Linked DNA regions of Caenorhabditis elegans. The protein of the gene in region 2 interacts with the protein of the main gene of each other region in a pairwise test. Each region holds a gene or a part of one and is shown on either strand. Other genes may lie near its edges. The genes, in order: ZK1320.2 and Y38H6C.8.

The links.
Region 1: the proteins of Y38H6C.8 (region 2) and ZK1320.2 interact in a two-hybrid assay, tested with the Caenorhabditis elegans proteins (one large-scale study listed by BioGRID).

Annotation. Positions count from the first base shown.
Region 1 is NC_003280.10:9,655,018-9,665,602, reverse strand, and holds ZK1320.2 (uncharacterized protein), read left to right. Parts: upstream 1-6,600; 5' UTR 6,601-6,604; coding exon 6,605-6,768; intron 6,769-6,910; coding exon 6,911-6,999; intron 7,000-7,104; coding exon 7,105-7,206; intron 7,207-7,254; coding exon 7,255-7,385; intron 7,386-7,468; coding exon 7,469-7,546; intron 7,547-7,591; coding exon 7,592-7,654; 3' UTR 7,655-7,721; downstream 7,722-10,585. Other genes in the region: ZK1320.5 (uncharacterized protein), read left to right, coding at 1-122, 615-799, 861-1,058, 1,203-1,283, 1,336-1,450, 1,506-1,987; cyp-13A10 (Putative cytochrome P450 CYP13A10), read left to right, coding at 2,763-2,812, 2,856-3,323, 3,371-3,470, 3,517-3,816, 3,862-4,118, 4,166-4,309, 4,448-4,688; ZK1320.3 (uncharacterized protein), read left to right, coding at 5,188-5,351, 5,545-5,633, 5,733-5,834, 5,880-6,010, 6,082-6,159, 6,256-6,318; gstk-1 (Glutathione S-transferase kappa 1), read right to left, coding at 7,941-8,090, 8,142-8,603, 8,786-8,854; ZK1307.1 (Amidinotransferase), read left to right, coding at 10,072-10,080, 10,185-10,477, 10,535-10,585.
Region 2 is NC_003283.11:20,509,132-20,520,130, reverse strand, and holds Y38H6C.8 (C-type lectin domain-containing protein), read right to left. Parts: upstream 6,171-10,999; 5' UTR 5,366-6,170; coding exon 5,283-5,365; intron 5,233-5,282; coding exon 5,114-5,232; intron 4,759-5,113; coding exon 4,484-4,758; 3' UTR 4,399-4,483; downstream 1-4,398. Other genes in the region: Y38H6C.25 (FTH domain-containing protein), read right to left, coding at 69-344, 635-838.

The DNA.
Region 1 (10,585 bases), on a different chromosome or scaffold from region 2:
CAATCTGTGCTACCTCAGAGCCACACATCGATCTACGGTCTATCCAAAGTTTACCGGAAATAATTTACGGTTTTTGTCCGTTGCTCATATTGTGCTGGCTTGTTCAAATGTTGTGGCCGCTGGTGAGTTTATATAGGCACAAAATGAAGACCCACTTGCCTACAGAAATGGGATTTCTTGCTCGAGTATAACTGTAAACGATATCTTTTTGTCAAACTTTAGCCCAAAAAATCTTCACTTGTATCAAAACTTTGGCAAGTTCAGGAAGTGTAATGCAATTAGTCCAAGTTAGATCCAACTCTTGCCAATGTAGTCCGAGGTTTGGCAAAAGTTAGATTATACTTGAGACGTGTCCTTTACTAACCTCAACTTTTGTCAAAATTTTGCCAAAGATAAAGCCGTGTTAATATTTTTTGGCAAAACCTATCTAGTAAGACAAGAAGCTGGCTCACAACGCCGAGTTGGTCACGCACTTGTCGTAGGTACACAATTATATGTATGCACACTTGTTTGCTATGTGCATTTCACAATTTTGATGATAATACGGATATATTTTGATCTTTAAACCTTGAAACTAATATTTCTGATTATTTTTCTAAAATAAACCTTTCCAGCTGCAATGTGGGGTGCCAACGTGAATCGCACGACAAAATCCGAAGCCTTCTTCTCGACAACTCTATCAGTCAGCCGTGCTATTCCAGCACTCACTGTGTTTTGGACAACTGTTGAACGGATAACGTACAATCGGAGTCCAACGATTCGAGAAAGTCCCAAGTTTCGATATGTGGCAGTTTTCCGGGTGGGTATCAATATTTTTATTACAATAAATATTAAATACAAATACTAAATACCTTTTATAGGTCATCGAAGTAGTGGTCTCCGTAATTATGGAGATGATTATTCGAGGAATCTATTTGAATAGTGATGATCAACTCAAAGAAGCTGCTGGACTTGAAGTTCTTCAATCTTCAAATGATGAAATTTCAATCAAAAGTTCACTCATCGCGAATGTATACTACGACTTCTATCACGGAATATTGTTTTTGCCATGTATTATAGTAAGTATCCTGTTTTGGCTAGTTTATATATTCAACAGAAAATAAAAATCCTATGTTTAGTTCCCTTAGAAAAAGTCTCACGCATGTGACGCAATTTCAACAAAACTTAAATAAACATATTATAATTATTATTTTGAATTTCAGATCTCGGTTCTCATGTTCAAATCGGCAAAAGGTTCTCACACTCGTGCCTGCCTACTCGGTGGAATGAGAAATGACCAGAAAGTGAGTTTTTTGAGGATTTATATTCTAGTTTTACATTTGACATCAATTTTAGATCCAAAATCTCAGTGGACAAATGACGTTTTTCAAAAATTCCTACATCATGCTGTACATCGCTTGTTTGGCCGACTTCATCTTGCATGTAATTGTCAAGAGATTTATAAATCTAGGTGAGTTTAATATGAAATAAAGATCAGAATAGTCTGAAAACTAAACTTCTTTCAGAAGATTCCACGCTTGATATGATGTACATCAATGCTCGATGCTTTCTTCCAATTGTTTACCCATTATCACTAATCGCTAACAACAAAAATCTCCGAATCGACTATTTCGGAAACTTCATTCTCTGTCGAAAAGCCAGAAATCTGCATAAAGAGTCCAAAGTCAAGGTCATTGCAACACGAGAATCACAAGAATCCATCATTGCCAACTTGAAAATGATCGGAATTCTCAGTGACGTGGATACCTCTCAGGGTGGCGCTGGTGCTGCAAGCCTCGCAATGATGGGAATGGGCGGAGGAGGTGCTCCAAGACCTCCCAGTGGAGGTCGAATGGCTTCTATATCCAAAGATCCTAATTCAATTACGTCTTCCGGAAGTCTAGCTAAGCAAAGTACAGCTTCAATGGGCAGTGGTGGAGCTTCGGGTATGATGATGTTCCACACGAGGCCTAAAAGTTCGGTACCATCGATGGGATCTGTTGGGTGATCAACATATAGATACTATGTATTTTAATTATTCGTTCATCGGCAATTCTAATAAATGTTATCTTTTTGAGTTTAAGTTTTTCCTGTCTATACATTCCTGTACCATATGATAGTGAGACATGTCTATATAAATGTCTGACTAGATCTCGTGAATGAATAACAAAAAGTTGGTTATTGGCCATCTATCATAACAAAATAGCAAAGTTAATCAAATAATTGAAACAGATCAGAGCACAATTTGTGTTAAATATCAACAGCAGGGTTAGGTAAAACTTTCGGGTTAGGAATACATTAATATCTAGTCATTTCAACCACATTTTTATATACATATGAAAGTACGTTTGAAAATTTGCTGACTTATTGTAAGATGTGCTTGTTATTTTATCAAAAATACTTGATTTTTTCTGGTTTCCACTAGATTTGACTTTCTTGCGCAATATGACACAAAGCCTTGCCCACAAAAATGCCTGGCAATGTTACTTCCAGAGTTGCTAAACTAAATTAAGTTAATCGGTGATTTCTTCAAATCTGCAGACCAAACTCCAGAAACTGGCTACAGGATAGACTAGAGTTAGTGGTCTTGATATCATCATTGTAATCCAATTACTCACTGATTCTGCGCAAGGAGTCACAAAATCGTCGAGACGGAGACACAAAAAGTGTGTCAGATAGTTGCCGTTTTTGTGTCCGATTTCTTGTAAATATAAAAACAAATTTTATTTTTGGAAATATTTGTTTAAAATATACAGACTTCGTTTACAAGAAAATACAACTAAATGAGTGTTATTTTACTTGCTATTCCAACTTTGTTCATTGGTTTTATCAGGTATTTTTTATTTATTTCTCAAAGCTAAATATATTTATTTAAGTTACTACCTCTGGATATGGACATATTGGAGACGGCGTGGTATCCCTGGACCTCTAGGTTATCCATTAGTTGGAAGTTTTCCAAAAACTCTCAAATCAGAATATCCTCAATACTTACAAATCAGAGATTGGACAAAACTTTATGGTCCAATATATGGATACACTGAAGGAACCATTAAAACTCTAATTGTTTCTGATATCGACATTGTTCGTCAAATTTTTGTTGAGCAGTATGACAACTTCTATGGTAGAAAACTGAATCCAATTCAAGGTGATCCGGAAAAAGACGAGAGAACTAACTTGTTCTCGGCTCAAGGATTTAGATGGAAAAGGCTCAGAGCTATATCTAGTCCTACTTTTTCGAATAACAGTTTGAGAAAAATCAATGTAACTGTGGAAGACAGTGCGATGGAATTATTGAGACATATTGAAGAACAAACTTCGGAGGGACAACAAATTGATATGTTACAGTGAGTTTTCGATGTATTGGAAAAGTAATTTAAATTTTAAATTACAGATTCTACCAAGAGTTCACAATGGATACTATAGGACGAATTGCAATGGGTCAGACCGACTCGCAAATGTTCAAAAATCCACTTTTGAAGTTTGTCAGAGCGGTTCGTTTTGGTACTATTACCAGTGAAATTCAACATATATTTCCAGATATTCGGAGATAATCGAAAGCATATTCCCCTCATCGGTGGAGTTTTTCCTACTCTTGCTCAAGTTTTTCGATTTTTTATGTTGAAATTTCCATTGTTGGGAGCAGCCAATTTCATTCACGTCAACAAAACTGTTGTGACAGCCGTTCAAAATCGTATAGATCAGAGGGAGAATGATAGAAAAAATGGAATTGAAATCGGAGAGCCACAGGATTTTATCGATTTATTTTTGGAAGCAAGAGCAGATGATGTGGAGCATTTTCAAGAGAATAATGGGGATTTTTCAAAGACTAGTAGCTATGTGAGTTTCAGGAGAAAAATTATTCCTGAATTTAAAAAATTGCAGGGAAACCGTCAACTAACAACTCAAGAAATAGTCGGTCAGTGTCTCGTTTTTTTGATTGCTGGCTTCGATACAACTGCTCTATCCTTATCCTATACTACATTTCTCCTAGCAACACATCCAGAAGTTCAAAAGAAATTACAAGAAGAAATAGAACGAGAATGCATAGAACCATCAATTTCATTTGATCATCTCTCAAAACTAAAATACATGGATTGTATTATCAAAGAGACTTTACGTTTGTACCCTTTGGGAACAATGTAGGAGTTTTAAATTTATACTTCACATAAAAAAACAATTATTCCAGGGCGAACTCTCGGAGATGCATGAGAGCCACTAAATTGGGAAATGTAGAAGTTGAAGTTGGAACAATGGTTCAAGTAGATACTTGGAGTCTTCATACTGATACAAAGATTTGGGGAGATGATGCGAAGGAGTTCAAGCCAGAAAGGTTTTTTTTTCAAAATTAAAAAATATATTCAGATGTATTATTGGCTTAATTTTTGAAAGTTTTAAAAAGCGAATCACTTTGGAGAGTATTCCACCTTTTAAATTATTTAGTAAGAGATCCTACTAGTTATTATTTCAGATGGCTTGACCCCAACTGTGACCAAGTTTTCCAAAAAGGAGGATATATTTCATTCGGATTAGGACCTCGTCAGTGCGTTGGAATGCGATTGGCTTATATGGAGGAAAAGATGCTCTTGGCTCATATTCTTAGAAAATATACATTTGAAGTTGGCACCAAGACAGAAATCCCATTGAAATTAGTTGGAAGAGCCACGACTCAACCGGAAACTGTTTGGATGCATTTGAAGCAAAGGATATGAACTCAATAATTTTCGACCCTCTTTGTTTGTATTTTAGTCATCGAAAAAGCTTTCAAATAAAACTTTCTTGCTTTTTAGAGTCTGAAAATGTTCAGCCTATTTTCTGAGAAACTCGTCTATCCTTTAATTGAAGAACAATTTTGAAAAACATATCAGACTAATTTGGTATTTCTACTAATTTTACTCGCATAAACTTTTGAATCATCTGATTGTGAGCAATATTGGATCAAGAAATCAGTTTTGTTAAGCTGCTGGCTCCCCGGAATCAATGCTCATAAACTTATCTGTAAACAACTTGTCCTTTAACTTTTCCAGTGATATCATTAGTGCTTTCCCATTTTTCTATTTAATATTCTTATCACTATAACTGAATGTCAAAAGAAAACGCTCATAATTTAAAAAACGTCAGTTTTAGACTGATAACTCTCTCCACAATTCATACTAATTTGACCATTTGCTACTTAAATTTTTTGAAGCATATATTTATATTTTCAGGAGAATGAAGTTTCTTCTTATTGCTTGTTTGGCAGTTCCTGCAATCTTAGCTCAACAGACGTCTGCTCCAGGTGGAAATTTGTGTACTTATCCTCCACAAGGAGATGAATCAAACCAAAAGGCTGTTCCTATTCAGGACTTCAGAACGTCTGGATTAGATTTCGTTAGGTCAGTTTATGTTCAAAAATTGGAACAGCTTTAGTAATGATTGGTTTAGGCCGCGGCCAAGTTATGTTGAGCCAACTCTTGATGGTCTTACTAGTTAGACCCAGAAAAATACTTTGGCAACAGTGGGATACTAAACGATTACCAATTTTTGAACCACATAAATAGCCGAATATCTTAATTTAAAAAGTTTCAGACCAAATTGGTGCATCACCCACTGTGCTGACCGCAAATCTGTCAAAGCTGCTGTTCGCTTCCAATTTGCCAATCAGTCAACTGCAGTCCGTAAGTTAACATAGATCAGTACACTAAAGTACATGTAAAAACATTTGGAACATTATGAAAATACCAGTAAACATCCTAGAATTTAATGGGAATTTTCAGCAACCTACAAAGTTCGCCGTACTTTCACCCGTTATTCAGGAATGAAGGTTCATGCTGAGCTGATCAGCGGAAACCCGACCAAGCGTGACGATGATCCTTTTAGTAAGTGATTTCATCTTATGGTATAAATACATGTCAAAATTTCAGACTTCTGTATGGACGATGCTGTGTCGGCCCAGATTGATACTATTGTCAACACCTACAATGACATCGAAACCATGTCAGAAGCCCTCAACTTCTATATCAACAAGCCAGGATGGGCGTATATTATTTACGATGTAAGTTACACAAGTTTTTTTTTGGAAAATATATAGGTGTCTACTATTTCTACTTGAATACATATATTCAGATGGGAGTACCACCAAGCATCATTGAGACTGACAATGTCAAACACGATATGAACTACTGTGAGAAGTCTTCTAACAAGGTAAGTACTCAGAAAATGTTGTAAAATGCAACAAAACCAGACCTGCAAGTATCCGAATTAGAAATTAGACCTCACCAAATTTTACAAATTTTTCAGCAAATGCCGGATGGAACCTACATGACATATCAAGTATTCGCAGGACTTATCAAGGCTAATTGATTTTTTTCTTTTAATTTTTAATAAACGATTTAACTATTTAAAGTTTTACATTGAATATTTGATTCTTATTATTCTCAAAATGAAATCATTAGTGATTTTTCAATATTTAATTTTCCACTCTTTATTTTCCGTTATCAACACATTCAACTGGCAAAAGAGGAGGCCGGTGATGTGGAAAATTTCAGTTTTTAACTGATAACTTCCGATAATTTGACCATTTGCTACTCGCTTTGAAACGTTTTTGAGTATAGTTTCCTTTTCATTTTTATCGAGAGTTTTTAGGAAAATGAAGCTTCTTCTCCTTGCCTGCTTAGCAGTTCCAGCAATTTTTGCTCAACAAACTTCTGCTCCAGGAGGAAATTTGTGCAATTATACTCCAGTTGGAGATGAATCCACACAGGATGCAGTTCCAATTCAAGATTTCCGATCCTCTGGATTGGATTTTGTGAGGTTAGTATATTCCTTTTCAAGATTAAATTAAGAATTCATGTAAAGTCAGAGTGTCTGATCTAGAATTGTTTTATCCTTTTAATCAATAATTTTAAATTTAATTATTCAAATCCAGATGAAAAAATCCATTTCTACTTTTCAGACCAAATTGGTGCATCACTCACTGTGCTGACCGCAAATCCGTCAAGGTTGCTGCACGTTTCCAATTTGCCAATCAGTCAACTGCAGTTCGTAAGTTAGCGTTCAAAAAATATTGAAAGCCACTTCCTAGTTTTGAAAAATATAATTGAAATAAAATATGTGGAACTTTATCTAACTCATTTTCATATATTTCAGCAACCTACAATGTTCGCCGTCACTACACCCGTAAATCTGGAGTCAAGGTTCATGCTGAGCTGATCAGCGGCACTCCAACCAAGCGCGATGATGATGATTTCAGTGAGCTCCTCTTTTTCTAGAGTAAACCTGAAATTCATTTGTTTTCAGATTTCTGCATCGACGACACTGTTTCTGCAACAATCGATACGGTTGTTAAGACTTACAATGACATCGAAACCATGTCAGAGGCTCTCAACTTCTATATCAATAAGCCAGGATGGGCTTATGTCATCTATGATGTAAGTCATATCAGAATCAGAATTGGCTCACTGCTGATAAAATCCAAAAATTCAAATCCGAACTTTAACCCTATCCATTTAAGATGGGAGTTCCACCAAGCGTCATTGGAACCGACAATGTCAAGCAAGATATGAACTACTGCGAGAAGTTTGCCCAAAAGGTACACTTTTATTATCTAAAGTAGATAAAGCTTTTCTACTTTCAGCAAATGCCGGATGGAACCTGGGGTTTGTATCAAGTGTTCGCCGGATTGATCAAGGCCAACTGATTTGTGATTTTTTGGGTTTTTCCCACAACTAACAGTGCAGATGTAATTTGAATAAAACTTTGAACATATAATTAATTTTCTGGAATATTTTACAGTTCGTAAAATTGAAAAGTAACCTAGAGTGCAGCCAACTAAAAGATTTTAGATTCAAATCTTTTTGGAATTTTTCTTTGTAGTTTTTGAATCTATGATTATGTCGATTGTCAGACTGTTTCAGAGAGAGTTAATTAAAAATATTTACCCAATTTATTCATATATTTAGCGCATCTTATCTTACAACAAATATTTAAAGTTTTGATTTCTGGCCAAAAAGTCGGTCTGGAAGCGGTTGTGGCTGTTGAAGAAGGTCGGCAATCAAATGGAAACGGTCTGATCCAAAGAATGAATGCTCCGATCCATCTTCTGTGTGCACATTGATCCATGGAGCACCATATGCCTGAAAAAGTAAAATTGCCAATTTTTTTTAATTCAAAGATGAATAACTTACCATCAAATCAACTCCCTTATTCGTATTCTCCATCAAAATCTTTATATATTTCTCATCCTTGCTCTTTTCCACAATTTGCTCCGGATTCTTAACACCAACTGCCTTCAATACTTCCACAAAGTCTTGATCCTCAAAAATCTTCTCACTTCGAGACCACAATCTGACCCACATTTCCCGAGCTGCTCGGAGCATCAGCTCCTTATCCTGCTCCTGCAAAACCAACAAAACCTTCATTGCTCCAGTAGTACGGTACTTTTTGATCCATTCCATGAACAATGGTGGTGGAGTCAATGGAATATCCCAGAACTTTGCAGTTCGCTTCAAATCAGTCATCATCATAATTGATCGAGCTGGGAGCATTGCTGGAGGACGATTTCCTGATTCTTTCATGACGGCTCCGAGGAAAAATGGAATGTAACGGATTGTTACTCCTTTCCATTGGGTTTCCAGTTTTTGGAAGACCTGCAATTTATCATTGCATAATTTCTATAACTATAATAAATTTACGAATTTTAAAACTAAAAAATATTATTGTACCGTAACACTGTTCAAAAAAAATTCCTGACTTCCTAGGATAAGAGAACCATCGACACATGCGTACAACCACAGTTTTTTATGTAATATCGTATATAAAAAAAACCAACCTCAAAAGCAATATAACTGTACGGAGAAATCACGTCAAAATAAAAGTCGATACGTGGAAGTTTTGGCATTTTCCAAAATTAATTCGAATTTTTGGGCACGGCGAACGGAAATCTGCAAGACAAAAATCCGTAAGTTGAGTGTAGATTTGGAAAAGATGTTTTGAAAAATATTCGCGGGAACGATAAAGTAGATCAAAGTTATATTTTCTGCAATTTTTCTTTGAGAACCCGTTTAAAAAATTAAATAAAAATTGCACAAACAACCGTGTGGTTTTATAAGTTTTCGAGACAACGAACTGTGATCTATGTTCGGTTTGCAGTGATAAGAAAGTGGGAAATGAAGATAGATGCAAAAATAACGTGGGAAAATAATAGTTCTAGAGAAGTAAAGCAACGTGGTGACTTGTTCCACACCGTGAGACTACACTGTAGCTTGTATCGGGAAAAAGATACGCAGAGATGACAGACAATCTGGTTTCTCTGCGTCTAGCTCTCTTGGTTTGAATGATGCATTGGGGAAACTACAAGAATACCTTGGATATTTGGAAAACGCGTATATCAATTTCTTAACCTTTCAAAAATTAAAGCTTTTCTGGATACCTGGAAAGTCCCAATTCGCGTTTTTTACATGGAATTTTCATAAAAGCTTTCTTTTAAAAATGTTTATTTTCTTTTTCCATTGACATATTTTGCATAGCAAGGATCTTTGGAGCTTTTCAAAGCACAAACCTTTGGAATTCATTTGCCGGTGTCTTTTGAGTACCTGCACCTGACACCTGGCACCTGACACCGAGAAAACATTTTTCCTGTGATCATAATTCATTTGGAATTTTTATCAATCAAGATCTGCAATCACAATATGTATTGTGACGTAATAAGGCCATCAAGACATATTGAAAGATTTACAAGGGTTCGGGGAAGAAGGAGGGAGGATAATAAAATGACCACGGGTGTACATTGTTATTCTTTTATTTTTATTTTCTCGCGCGTTTTTGGTTCTACTTTTTGAACTATCTAGTTTAACATTCAACTTCCTCCTTGAATATTTGTTAAATTTCTAAAGTTACGACTAAAAATTGTTTGAAAATTTAAATTTTTTGTCAGGTGTTATAATTTTTGAAAGTTTGAACTTTTTGCAGACTAGCTGCTAACACCTTTATACCAATATTTGATAACAAATCGTATCAATATAAAAACTGATAAGATACTAGTTAGCTCGGTGCATCATTTCAATTTCGAGTAGACTATTAACAATAGTTATTTGATATTGAACCTGCTATATAATAATGTCTGATGTGAGTTTGGACCTATTTAATTGTCAGTTTGGAAATTAGAAACACTGGTTTTACTTTTTGAGTTAAAATGATTTTGAAAACTAATTAAACAATTGAATTTTCAGTCTGAAACAATGTCTGCTGCAAAATCTGCTGCCCATATTCTGAAGAGAGTGTTGATGGTTCCACCAAAGCATTTCACAGTCGAATACACAATCAATCCATGGATGGGAGGAGTTGTTGACAAGCAAAAAGCTCATCAGCAATGGAATTCTTTGAAATCTGCAATCGAAAACGCTGGTGTTCCAGTTTTGACAATGGAGCAAACAGAGGGTCTTCCAGATCAAGTTTTCGTTTGTAATAGTGGATTGGTCTATGATGATCAGGTTTACTTGTCCAGATTCAGGCATAAGGAAAGGTGAGTTTGAAAAAAGAATAAAGGAAATTGTGTGTGAAACATTTTATGTTTTTACAGAAGCGGTGAGCAACCACTCTACTTGGAATGGTTCAAGAAGAACAATATCAA
Region 2 (10,999 bases):
AAACTAATAGCAACCAATAAAAAAGAACAGCTAATTACTGACTCAACAAAATCATCACATAAAAAACTTCAAATCTCGAATGAATTGTGCAACGCCAATCTGAGCTCTTCGATGGTTTTCGGAGTTTTGATGACTTTTCCGCTGATATGCCACGGGGTCAGTCGAACGATCATAATGTGTTCCAGATTGTGTTTGTTGCCTTTCATAAATGGAATGTGAAGAAAAACCTTGTTCGTGTTAGTTTGGACGGTGTCGGTTTTATTCATAAATGGGCTTAAGTCCATTTTTTCAAGAACGTTGATGTTGAACGTGGATGTTAGGAGAGGGGTTTCGTGACGACGAAGCTGAAATTTTCATGGTTTTCTTCATCTTCTTACATTCAGATATACTAATTATATGTTAGGCTAATTTTTTATATCCGTCAATTTTGTGGTTTGTGACCTGTGACATAGCACTAAACGGAAAATGGGCAAATTCTCAGAAGCTCACTACTTTAGTGGATGGACCCTGTCAAGACTCCCGTTTCAACGAGACAGGAGAAAAGTTAGAGTCCCTGGCTATTTTGGCAGTACCCTTATTACTGACTAAACAGTAATTTCTAAAATTCCTAACATTGATTTTTTCCAATACTTACATTAATAATGCACTCAATGAGTTGATAGTCCGCACAATCCAACTGAACTTGTATATTGTCCTGAACGAGCAGTTGCCGAGCAGTTTTTCTTAGACTGTGCACATATACGTTGAGAGCATTCGTGAATTTCCGTTTGTATGTGTTCAAGATCAGTGGAGGGCCTTCATTCGCCTTCTTATATTCGATTTTGAAGAAATCGGACATTTCTCTCAGTTTCAGCTTATCGAAGCAGAAGCTGCGAGTAGTAACAAACAGAAGAATAAAGAAGCTATAAACGCAGACAAGGTACAAATGAGAGGAGGGCTTGACGGTGGCGCCGTGGGCAACAGGAGCCAAAAGGTGCAAGGGTATGTGTGGGAAGTCTCCCCGGAGATTACTGACGTCGGGGCTAGAAATGTGCATGTATGTGAAATCAGAGAGTTGCTGAATTTACACACAAATCATCACGTACCCCTGAATTATGTTCAACTTTGTCTACACAACAAATAGAGATAGTTCGATTCGCCGCTTACAGTAACACACCTGCTCATCTAACCTCCCAAGAAAAGGGAGTTTACACGGTGTTCCAATTTTAATGTATTTCATTAAATTTTCTTCTCTTTCTGCGATTCATGTATATGATAATTTGGAGGAATGTTATTTTTAATTTTTAAACTAAATTTTTTAAAACTAAATTGGTTTTAATTTAACTGTTCCCTGTACTTGATTTTTACAATTCAAAGTAAAAACTTGCAAACCCGAAAAATTATGAGAACCACTAATTGTATGATTTGAAATTATGAACAGTCGTCTCATGTGGTATCAGAGTGTCCCCTTTCGGTTTGATCTGCGTCGATCTACAAAAAATGCGGGAGTTGAGACGCAGAGTTCTCAACTGATTTCTCATTGGTAAGAACTTGCTGACGTCATTTTTATGGGCTACAAATTTGCGCATTTTTGTAGATCAAACCGAAACGACCCCGCGTGCAGTCTGTCTAGTTGGCTCGGCTATTCATAGACCATACGGCTGGTGACCTCTTCTCTTCCCACGGGGAGGCAAACGGTACGTCCGAGAAAGTGCGCTCTACTGCTCAATGAGCATACCACTGGTGAGAGGGTATCAACAAAAAATTCATTGGTGTCATTAAATAGAGAATTTTCTGTAGAACATTTTTCATATGCATCACTTCCAAAAAATTTGAGCCGTTTTCGAGATAAATCCATTCTAAAAATGCGACTACTGTAGAAATTAGTGTATGTACGTAAAGTTTGCCTCCCCGTGTTCCCAAAGAGTTCCTTTCTTTCTCTCACACCCTCCACCCCTCTCATTCTCCCTTGGTCTCCATTTCTTGCATGTTCTTGCATATTCCCTATTCTGTCCCCAGATCGATTTGATTTTTCGCGTTTTTTATTTATTTTACTCTTATTCTTTTTAAATAATCTTTAAATTTTATTTTTTTAGTTTTAAATTATCAAAAGTGATGACCCAACGAAGAAAATCCGTAAAGGACCCGGCGTACCGAGCGGTCCGTGCAAAAAAAGGACCCACAAGATTCGAGCAATGGCCGATGCTCCCAGAAGTGGCGAAGAGAATGGTGATCGGGAATTTGAGTTTTGAGGATAGGTAAGACCTTTTTTATTTTTTTGAAAATTCGCAAAAGATTAAAGTTTTACAAAATTTATTTAAAATATCTGAAAACCCCAAATATTCGGAAATTAAAAACAAGTCTTTCAAAATCAAAGTTTCAGTTTTTTTTGGTTTCAAGAATTCGAAAGTATTCAAAAATTCCAATTTTTCTGAAATTTCACACTTCCTGGAAGATAAAAAATTCAAAAAAATACGAAAATTCTCGTAGATAAATCTTGATTGTTAATAACTAGCAAAACAAATCCTAGAAATTTAATTTTTATTGATTTCTATGTTTTCAGAAACAACATTCGTCAGTGCTCCACCGTCGAAATGAAGCTGGTCGATAAAATAGCTGATTCCTTCGACAAGCTGAGAATCTTCGAAGGTATACCAGTTTAACCTCATTTTCCAAATAAAAAAGCGTTGAAAATTCAGCGAAAAACGATGAGGAAACCAAGCAATACTTGTGCCTGTCGATAAATAGATGGAATTTCAAAGTTCTGAAGACCGACAATCTCAAAAATCGAACAGCCATCGGAGTCGGCGCTGTCACAACTTTCTGCCGAATCTTCGCGAATCCGAGAACTACTGCAAAATGTGTAGAGTTGGATTTTCCCTACAGATCAACTCACCGTAACATTATGCCAATTTTGGTCTCCGAACTTGCAAGGACTGGCGTCAAAATCCGAGCCAAGGAGCTCTGGGTCAGGAGCAATCAGGCCGCTTACAAGTGGATCGGAAAAGTCCTGAAAGCTTTTGAACCGGGGCACCTGGAAAAGATCGCAGTGGGCCGTATCTCAGGAAAGGACTACGCGGAGATTAAGAACACCGAGCAGTTCAAGGCCTGCAAACAATATATGCTCATCGCAGAAAGTAATTTTCAGTTATACAAAGGGTTTGATGGGACTTTCCAGCTGGACCTGGATGCTGTGATGCGGAGAAGCTTGAAGTTTCGATGCAAGTTCTAAGACCGGATGAAGCGTGGAAAGTGATTACAGTGAGTTTTTGAAATTTGTAGAAACTTCAAATAATTTTCTTTTCAATTTTTTGGATTTTCTAGTCAAATTCGCAAAAATCTAACCGTGGTAGAGTATGCTGATTTTCAAAGTTTGTAGTAGCCCATATAAAGCAACAATGTTATTATAGATTATTTTTTGAGCATTTAACTATAAGTATAAAAAAATAAAGTGAACAAAAAACAAAGTATTAAGAGTTACGCCATTTAAACTTCGAAATTCTTCCAGAGCTTCCGTGCAAGATCCAACTTGCCCCTCGGATCGTTCTTCAAAATCTCCACCGGCCAAGAATGGAAAATTCAAGATTTTCTCAAGGAATTCGATGTTCCGGCTGTCCATCATCCTCATCGTTATGAGTAAGCACATTAACATATTAACCTAGAGGCCAATTTTATTGAAATTGCAATTTCAGTCAACACCATTATGTTTCACACCGCCAAGCGTTCGACATGGAAGATGAGACAAAAGTATTGGTGATCACACTTTGGACGTCACACGAGCACAGCGAGCTTTGCGGAGAAATTTTCGATAGGGAGCGGTTCCGAAGCATTTATGACAACAACGATCAGTAATAATAGTTGATAGTACACAATAAATTTGTCATTGTTGTTATAATATGATACAGGCATATTGAAAAGACACGTGGTGTCAGAGTGTCTCATTTCGGTTTGATCTACGTAGATCCACAAAAATGCGGGAGTTGAGACGCATGCTTTTCAACTGATTTCGCATGGTTAAGCACGTGTTGACGTCACATTTTTTGAGAAAAAAATCACGCATTTTTTGTAGATCAAACCGTAATGGGACATCCTGGCACCACGTGAAAAGAGACTTCTAAAGCGGAAGGGCAAGTTTGTTCCTGGAACTTTTAAGAAAACTGAGGTAGAAAGCTGAGATTAAATTTAGGTCTAAGCCTAAGCCTAAAGATGAAACTTGAGCTTACGCCGTTACACTAGCCTAGCTCAATCATATGCCTGCCTTAAGTGAAACAAGGTGAGAGGCCTGAGCATAGCCCACAAGCATAAGCCTTATCCTAGTTCAACGTTGTAATCTTATTTCTAAACATGTGCCTACGCTTTAGAGAAAATGTAAAATCTGAAAACTTTAAACCAAATCAAATAACAATCTAAAATGTTTTTTTTTCGAATGTTGTTTCCATTAAACAATGTGAGGTAATTTATTAACATGAGAGGTACTTTGTTGTAATAAAAAAAACTTAAATCATCAAATCTCTAGGCACGGAGGGCATGTTGGAGAGTATGCCCCATTGGGATACTGGCACAGAAACTGGATCCTTTCATCGCACACTTGGGAAAACCACTTTCCAGTCGAAATGAGCATAGTTCCGCAGTGCCGATCTTCAAGTGGCTGTCCTGGTCCCCAATTGGAGAATCGCATTGGGCTCCCGTCAATCCAAGTCCAATTGGTGTAGTGGGCAGCGTCGCTGGCTCCGATCCAAAAAGAGTTGTAGTCGGCGTCGAGGTGGTTTACCGCCAGTTCTGGAAAAATGTTAAACATTTTTATGAAGAAGGAGGTACTCATTGGTAGCCAAGGATCGGGCAAACTATAGTCAGACTTCTGTCAAATTTCGATGCTAACTGTGGACATGGCATTAGTGATAGAAAGCGGTAAGAATCAGTTAGCAAAGCTCGTTCAAAGAAAATATCTAGCTATTTTTACATTTTCTACGCTTGGAAGTTAAAATGTTTCGATTTTCTTCATGATAGATTTTGCATGCGATGTTAATCTATCTTGATTAAGTTGCTGGAGCTAGAATATGTCTGTCTATACCATTCCTAGCTAGCTTCACCCGCCATTAGACCATGTAGTTCCCGTCTAATTTACAAATCTCACTTTGCATCCAATTGTTATCGATAATATTCGTGATTTTTACCAGACTCCCTCCAAACATCTTTACACACAAATCGTTGGCATCCTTGAACTTTCCATGAACACGGTTGAACGAGTAGCAGCTGGAACTCTCCAATTCAGTTTTCTGTCCCACAAAACTCTTTTCACTTACGAATCTCCAAATCCAACATCTCCCGGAACACAGTCCGGCGCGACAGAGCACACTAGACAGACAATGATAAATAAGCGAAGCATAATTTTGAACCTTCCTCAGCGGAGAAACTCATCTTATCAGCTTCTATTTATATGTGTTTGTAGAAACCGCGCCTCTTCCCGTAGTGATTACTTATCACAAAAATTTTAATCATCCATATTTCATAATTTCATGAGTTTTGTAACAAATTGGTGCATGAACAAGATAGTCTGGTTGTTCGAGGCATTGAAATTTCAAATTCCACCACCCTTCTTTGAATTAATTTATTCTTGATTGTCATAGCATCTCTTTTTATTATCAATCAAGAAACGATAATGTGAGATTTTTGGAAATATTGGAGAGATTCAGGTAATACGATAGTTTTCTGTATGTCAAGAGTTAATAGTGCCAGAGATCAAAACACTATCGGAAATAGTGTGGGGTTCGACGAGACGATGAGTTCACTCTTCCAAATGTAGTCCTCATCGAAGCTTCGTAAAAATAGTATAGGGAAATGAGAGTTTATTACTATGAGATAAGTTTTCAGATATATCTGTGGTTTTCACGATGAAAGAGACAATAAGAAAACAGGAGGCGAAAGATGTGAGCTCCCTCCAAATGTAGTTTTCAGGTTAGTGATAATAAAGAAAGACATCGAGAGATTATCATATATTTTTTAGTTATCTCTCACGAGAAAAGACAAGCTCTGTAGTGCAGGTTTGTAAGAGGAGAAGAAGAGCGGAGATATAGTAAGAATGGCTTGTCATGAGCAGGTTTATTAGTTAATAAAGTAATTTACAGAAAAGCAGTTTGTTGGGGGCAAACAGCGAACACGTGACAACGGGTTAAAAGTAAAGGAAAAAGGCCTCGAATGAGCGAAACCGCTCCTTTTATAGGGGAAAAGGGAGGGGGAGAGAACATTCGAGAACGATGACAATTAGAGTTGGCGCCGGCAATTCAGATCCGCGCGCCGTCCGGTGGAGCGCACTTGCAGCGTGCATTGATGAACGTTGGCAAGTCTAGTCGTTGTCTTTGGCAGCGGTTCTGGCCGGATAACCGTGATGTTACCCGCTACGGCAGCACTTGCTGGACCTGTAAGACAATAATAAATGTGGGGAATTGTACCGAGCATGGGGAGACGCGGAAACTCTTACACCTCCCCCCTTTCTTTCAGGACCGTCCCTGGTCCTCAAAAGTATAAGGTTCTTTAGGTAGGCTGTGTTAACAGGCCCTAAGAGTTTCTGCCGTCTAACCATGAGAAACTTTTATAAAACTTAGTGCTTACGTACTAATACCTTACTAGGGAATGACCAGAATAAATGGAGCGATATTCAAAAAAAAAATATTGTATCGGAAAGCTGACATTCTCTACTATAAGAATATGACTGAAATTTTTGCCCGTTCGAGCTGGAAATCTGAAATTTTTACGTCTGAAATTCTACACTGAAATCAGTGCATTTCCTATGGTTAACAGTGGATTTTTGTCTCTGGCGCCAACAGAAGTCTCACCACAATGGTGGAAGGGCGAAAACATCGGTTCGGTGGTCGAGTGGTGAACGCGTTCGCCTCTTGAGCAGAAGTTTGTGTGTTCGGTTCCCATACATGGTTTAACTTTTGGCCTTTTTTATACAAAATTTTCAGAACGGGAAACAAGTATTTAGAACATTTTTTTGAGGGTTTTACATAATTTTTTTGCTTTTTAATTGAACCATAATTACCCTGGAAACTTTTCAGAAATTTTAATTTTTTTCGAAAATTGTCACTTTTTTCTCCACCAAACCCATGAGAAAATTTGATCGAAAAATTTTTTTTTGAAATTTTTTTAAAAATGCATGAAATATTTTAGAGTGTCACAAATAACCTATTTTTCATTATTTTCAATGACCGAATCATTGATTCTGATGCCTTATCAAGACGTTTTACCAAATCGATATTGGCAAAACATCTTGTTTTTGAGGCTCCATATCTCTGCAGGAAAAAATCGCACTAAAAAGTGATCAACTAGAAACTTGTTAAACACAATGTGATCTAAAACATTTCAGTTGAACACTTTTTTGTAAAAAATTTCGTTGCCGAGTTGGAACCAATTGATTTGAGCTTCATTATTTTTGAATATTCTAAATAGTTAAAGATCTATATCTTGGCAACGAAATTTTTTACAAAAAAGTGTTCAACTGAAAAGTTTTAGATTACATTGTGTTTAACAAGTTTTCAGTTAATCACTTTTTAGTGCGATTTTTTCCTGCAGAGATATGGAGCCTCAAAAACAAGATGTTTTGCCAATATCGATTTGGTAAAACTTTATTTTAATTTTTTTTTTTCATATTATTGTTTTTATATTGGGTCAAAACGTATTTGCTCTGCTAAATAGTTAGCTGGCGCTAATTTTTAATTTTATTATTTTCGTATTTTGATAAATTTCACTGAAATTGTCCCTTTAATAGTTTACATTCTATTGGTTTTCTTTTATTCAATGTCTTTTGATATCGGAAACGTGATGTTTGCCTTGCATCGTCATTTTCCCAATCCCCTCCCATCAAATCCCTCGATTTCGAGACATGAGCAGAAGGTGGCAGATCATTTGGCAAGCATTATAAAGGAATCTTATTATGGAGATACCAGTGTGGAAGAATCCGAATATTTGGTTCAAGAAGAATATGGCGATTGGGAGCCAGAAGTTTTTGAGGTATGTTGGTTTCGACACTATTAATTGTCATTTAAAAAACCTTTCAGCCGTATGACTGTGTGTTGCCGGATCAAGATGATGTATTGTTCGGTGAGAAAGCTGTATCAAGGGAAAAGTTGGATAAAGCGATCACCTTCTACCGTAGCGGAAAAATTGGAAGTAGGCCGATAACGACTATGCACCATAGTTATCGCTGGATACGAACCGATGCTCATATGAACAAACTGCGCAAGTACGAGAAAGATAAAAAAGCGTTCCAAGAAAGCGTGCGGGTTCGTTTGGCACAGCTTACACAACGGCTTTATGAGGAGGTCAAGGAGAAACTTGATAATGGTAACGAACATTAATATAACAAGTTTTAATATAAATATTTCAGGAGTCAATTTGCATGATTCTGATTTGATGGCTATGGCACTGGAAATCAACACCCGCGAAATGAAGTTGCAAAACTTCAAAGCGTCACAATCCTGGATAACCCGATGGAAGCAAAGCCACAGGTATGTAATAAATTGCGGAGTATGTTAGATATATAGATATATAGATACATATATATATATATATATATATATATATATATATATATATATATATATATATATATATAATTTCAGAATCGTGAGTCGGAGAGTCACCAAGTTTGTCACACGGAAGTGCCTGATCAATAAAGACGCTATCAAAAAAAACGCGGATGATTTTGTCAAGAATGCCAGAACAGAGATCTCCAACTATCACCCGTCGATGGTCTTCAATTGTGACCAAACCGGAATTCAAAAGGAGCTGTATCCAGCCCGGTCTTTAGCCTTTATGGGCGAAAAAACAGTCGAGAGGTTGGCGCAATCGAAATCGTCGCTGACCCACTCGTTTACGTTTCTCCCGATGATTTTCCTCGATGGCTCAATGGGACCCAAGGCGTTTATGGTAATCGCTGAACCAAAAGGCCAGTTTCCTCCGTCTCGTCCAATTCCAAACTGCCCAAATTTGGAAGTGCGGGCTGGATACAAGACACACATCATGACGAAGCAATTGATGTGCGATTTTTTCGAAAGTTGTGTCTTCATTCCGTCTGTACCGAAAAAACTGTACATCATGCTGGACAGTTGGCCAGCGTTCAAGGACCATACAACGATCAAGAACTTGGTTCCCAATGGTCATGATGTCGTCATTCGCAACATTCCAGAGCACACAACTGGAATGATCCAACCGTTGGATGTCTATTGGAATGCGCCATGGAAGGTATGAATTTAAATCTTTATAACTTTTTGATAGTATTTTCCAGAGCTTGATCAAGAAGTTCACAGCATATGCCCTTCGAACCCAGACCGATTACGTCATCGCACAGAGGAACAACGCAATTTGCATGGTATCTGTGTTGTATCACCAGATCTCGGCAGAGCACTTCCGACCGTTTTTACAGCATTGTTGGAAGAAAGCTGGATACGTGGGTGCTGCGAATACTTCATCAACACCATTTTTGACTCCAGCTCAATATTGCATTGATCATGGTGACACAGTGATTTGCTATCACACTGGATGTAACCATCTCGGATTCATCCGATGCGCAAGATGCAAGATGTTTGTTTGTTTTAATCATTTTGTTGTGTCAAAACAACATCTTTGTTCATCTCCTTGAATAATTAATAAATTCATGATTGCATTACATTCAAGTTTCGCTATGAATAAAATTGTTTATATGAGGGGATCCATGGTTGTAGTGGTCCATGGTTAAGTTTAAATTTTAGGGGAAAAGATGTTGAATGAATCATTATGGTGTTGGTCGACACATTGATCATGCTGATATCGATCAGAAAAATTAAAATTTGGGCTTTTATATAGTTTCGAAAAAACACGTTTAAATTTTTGAAAAACTTTACGTTAGGGTGGAATTGAACCCCAGAGTCCCACCATGCTTGTCATCCACTCTATCCACTCGGCCATCTCGCTGTTGCAGGCAGTACTAATTGGGGATGGTGATAAGTAAAGCACGTCAAAACGAATAATTTCAGACGTAAAAATTTCAGATTTCCAGCCCGAACGGGCAAAAATTTCAGTCATATTCTTATAGTAGAGAATGTCAGCTTTCCGATACAATATTTTTTTTTTGAATATCGCTCCATTTATTCTGGTCATTCCCTAGTTAGTGCTCCAGCGTGGATAGGAACTTCTCTCCGGTAGTGAAGACCTTGAACCAGTAGAGACGTGATCCAAACTTTTCGTTCATGAAATCGATAATGATGCTTGGTGGCGCGGCGTTGGTCAGCTTGAGCGACGCCAGCGGTTTACGAGTATCCAACTTGGTGATCTTTCCGATGATGTGGAACCAAGCAAGTTTCTGTGGCGGGAATTTCTTTTGTCGATGAGCCAAGACTCGAGTGATGTTGCTCTGGATAGCCAGCTTCACGTCGATGAACTCCATCTCTTCTACAAAGGACGTCGGTCCTCTTGCGTAATCGGTTCCAATTGCGGCCAAAGTGACTTCTTCTCCGGCACCGGGCGCTCTATGTGAAGGCGGGGTGAGACGTCTCTTCGTGTTGAGAAGGGCTTCGGCGAGATCCTTGAGGACTCCTTCGTGGACCTCTTTAAGTCGCTCCGAAATAAGCATCTTTGGATTTGCTGGATCAGCAGGAGTATTCGTTTCATTTAAAATTTGCTCGACGGCGACTTGGACCGGCTGGGCACTGGGTCCCGGCCGATTGTCCAAGCCTTGCGTGCCGAAGAGCTCTCGATCGTTTTCGTCTAGCCATGTGGGTGGATGACGATGCATTCTCTGGAAATAGAATATTACGCTTTACAAAAACGCACGAAAACCATGACAAGACAATAAAAATTAAAATTTTAGTGCCTTTTAGCAAAATTTTAGTCTTTTTACCAAAATTTTAGTGACTTTAGGAAAATTTTACGTTTCTTACGCAAAAACTTCTTTTTATAGGTGTTTTTACCTCAAAACTTGATTAGTTTACGCGAAATTCATAGGAAATTGATCTAAATCCTGAAATTTAGAGAAAATTTGCGA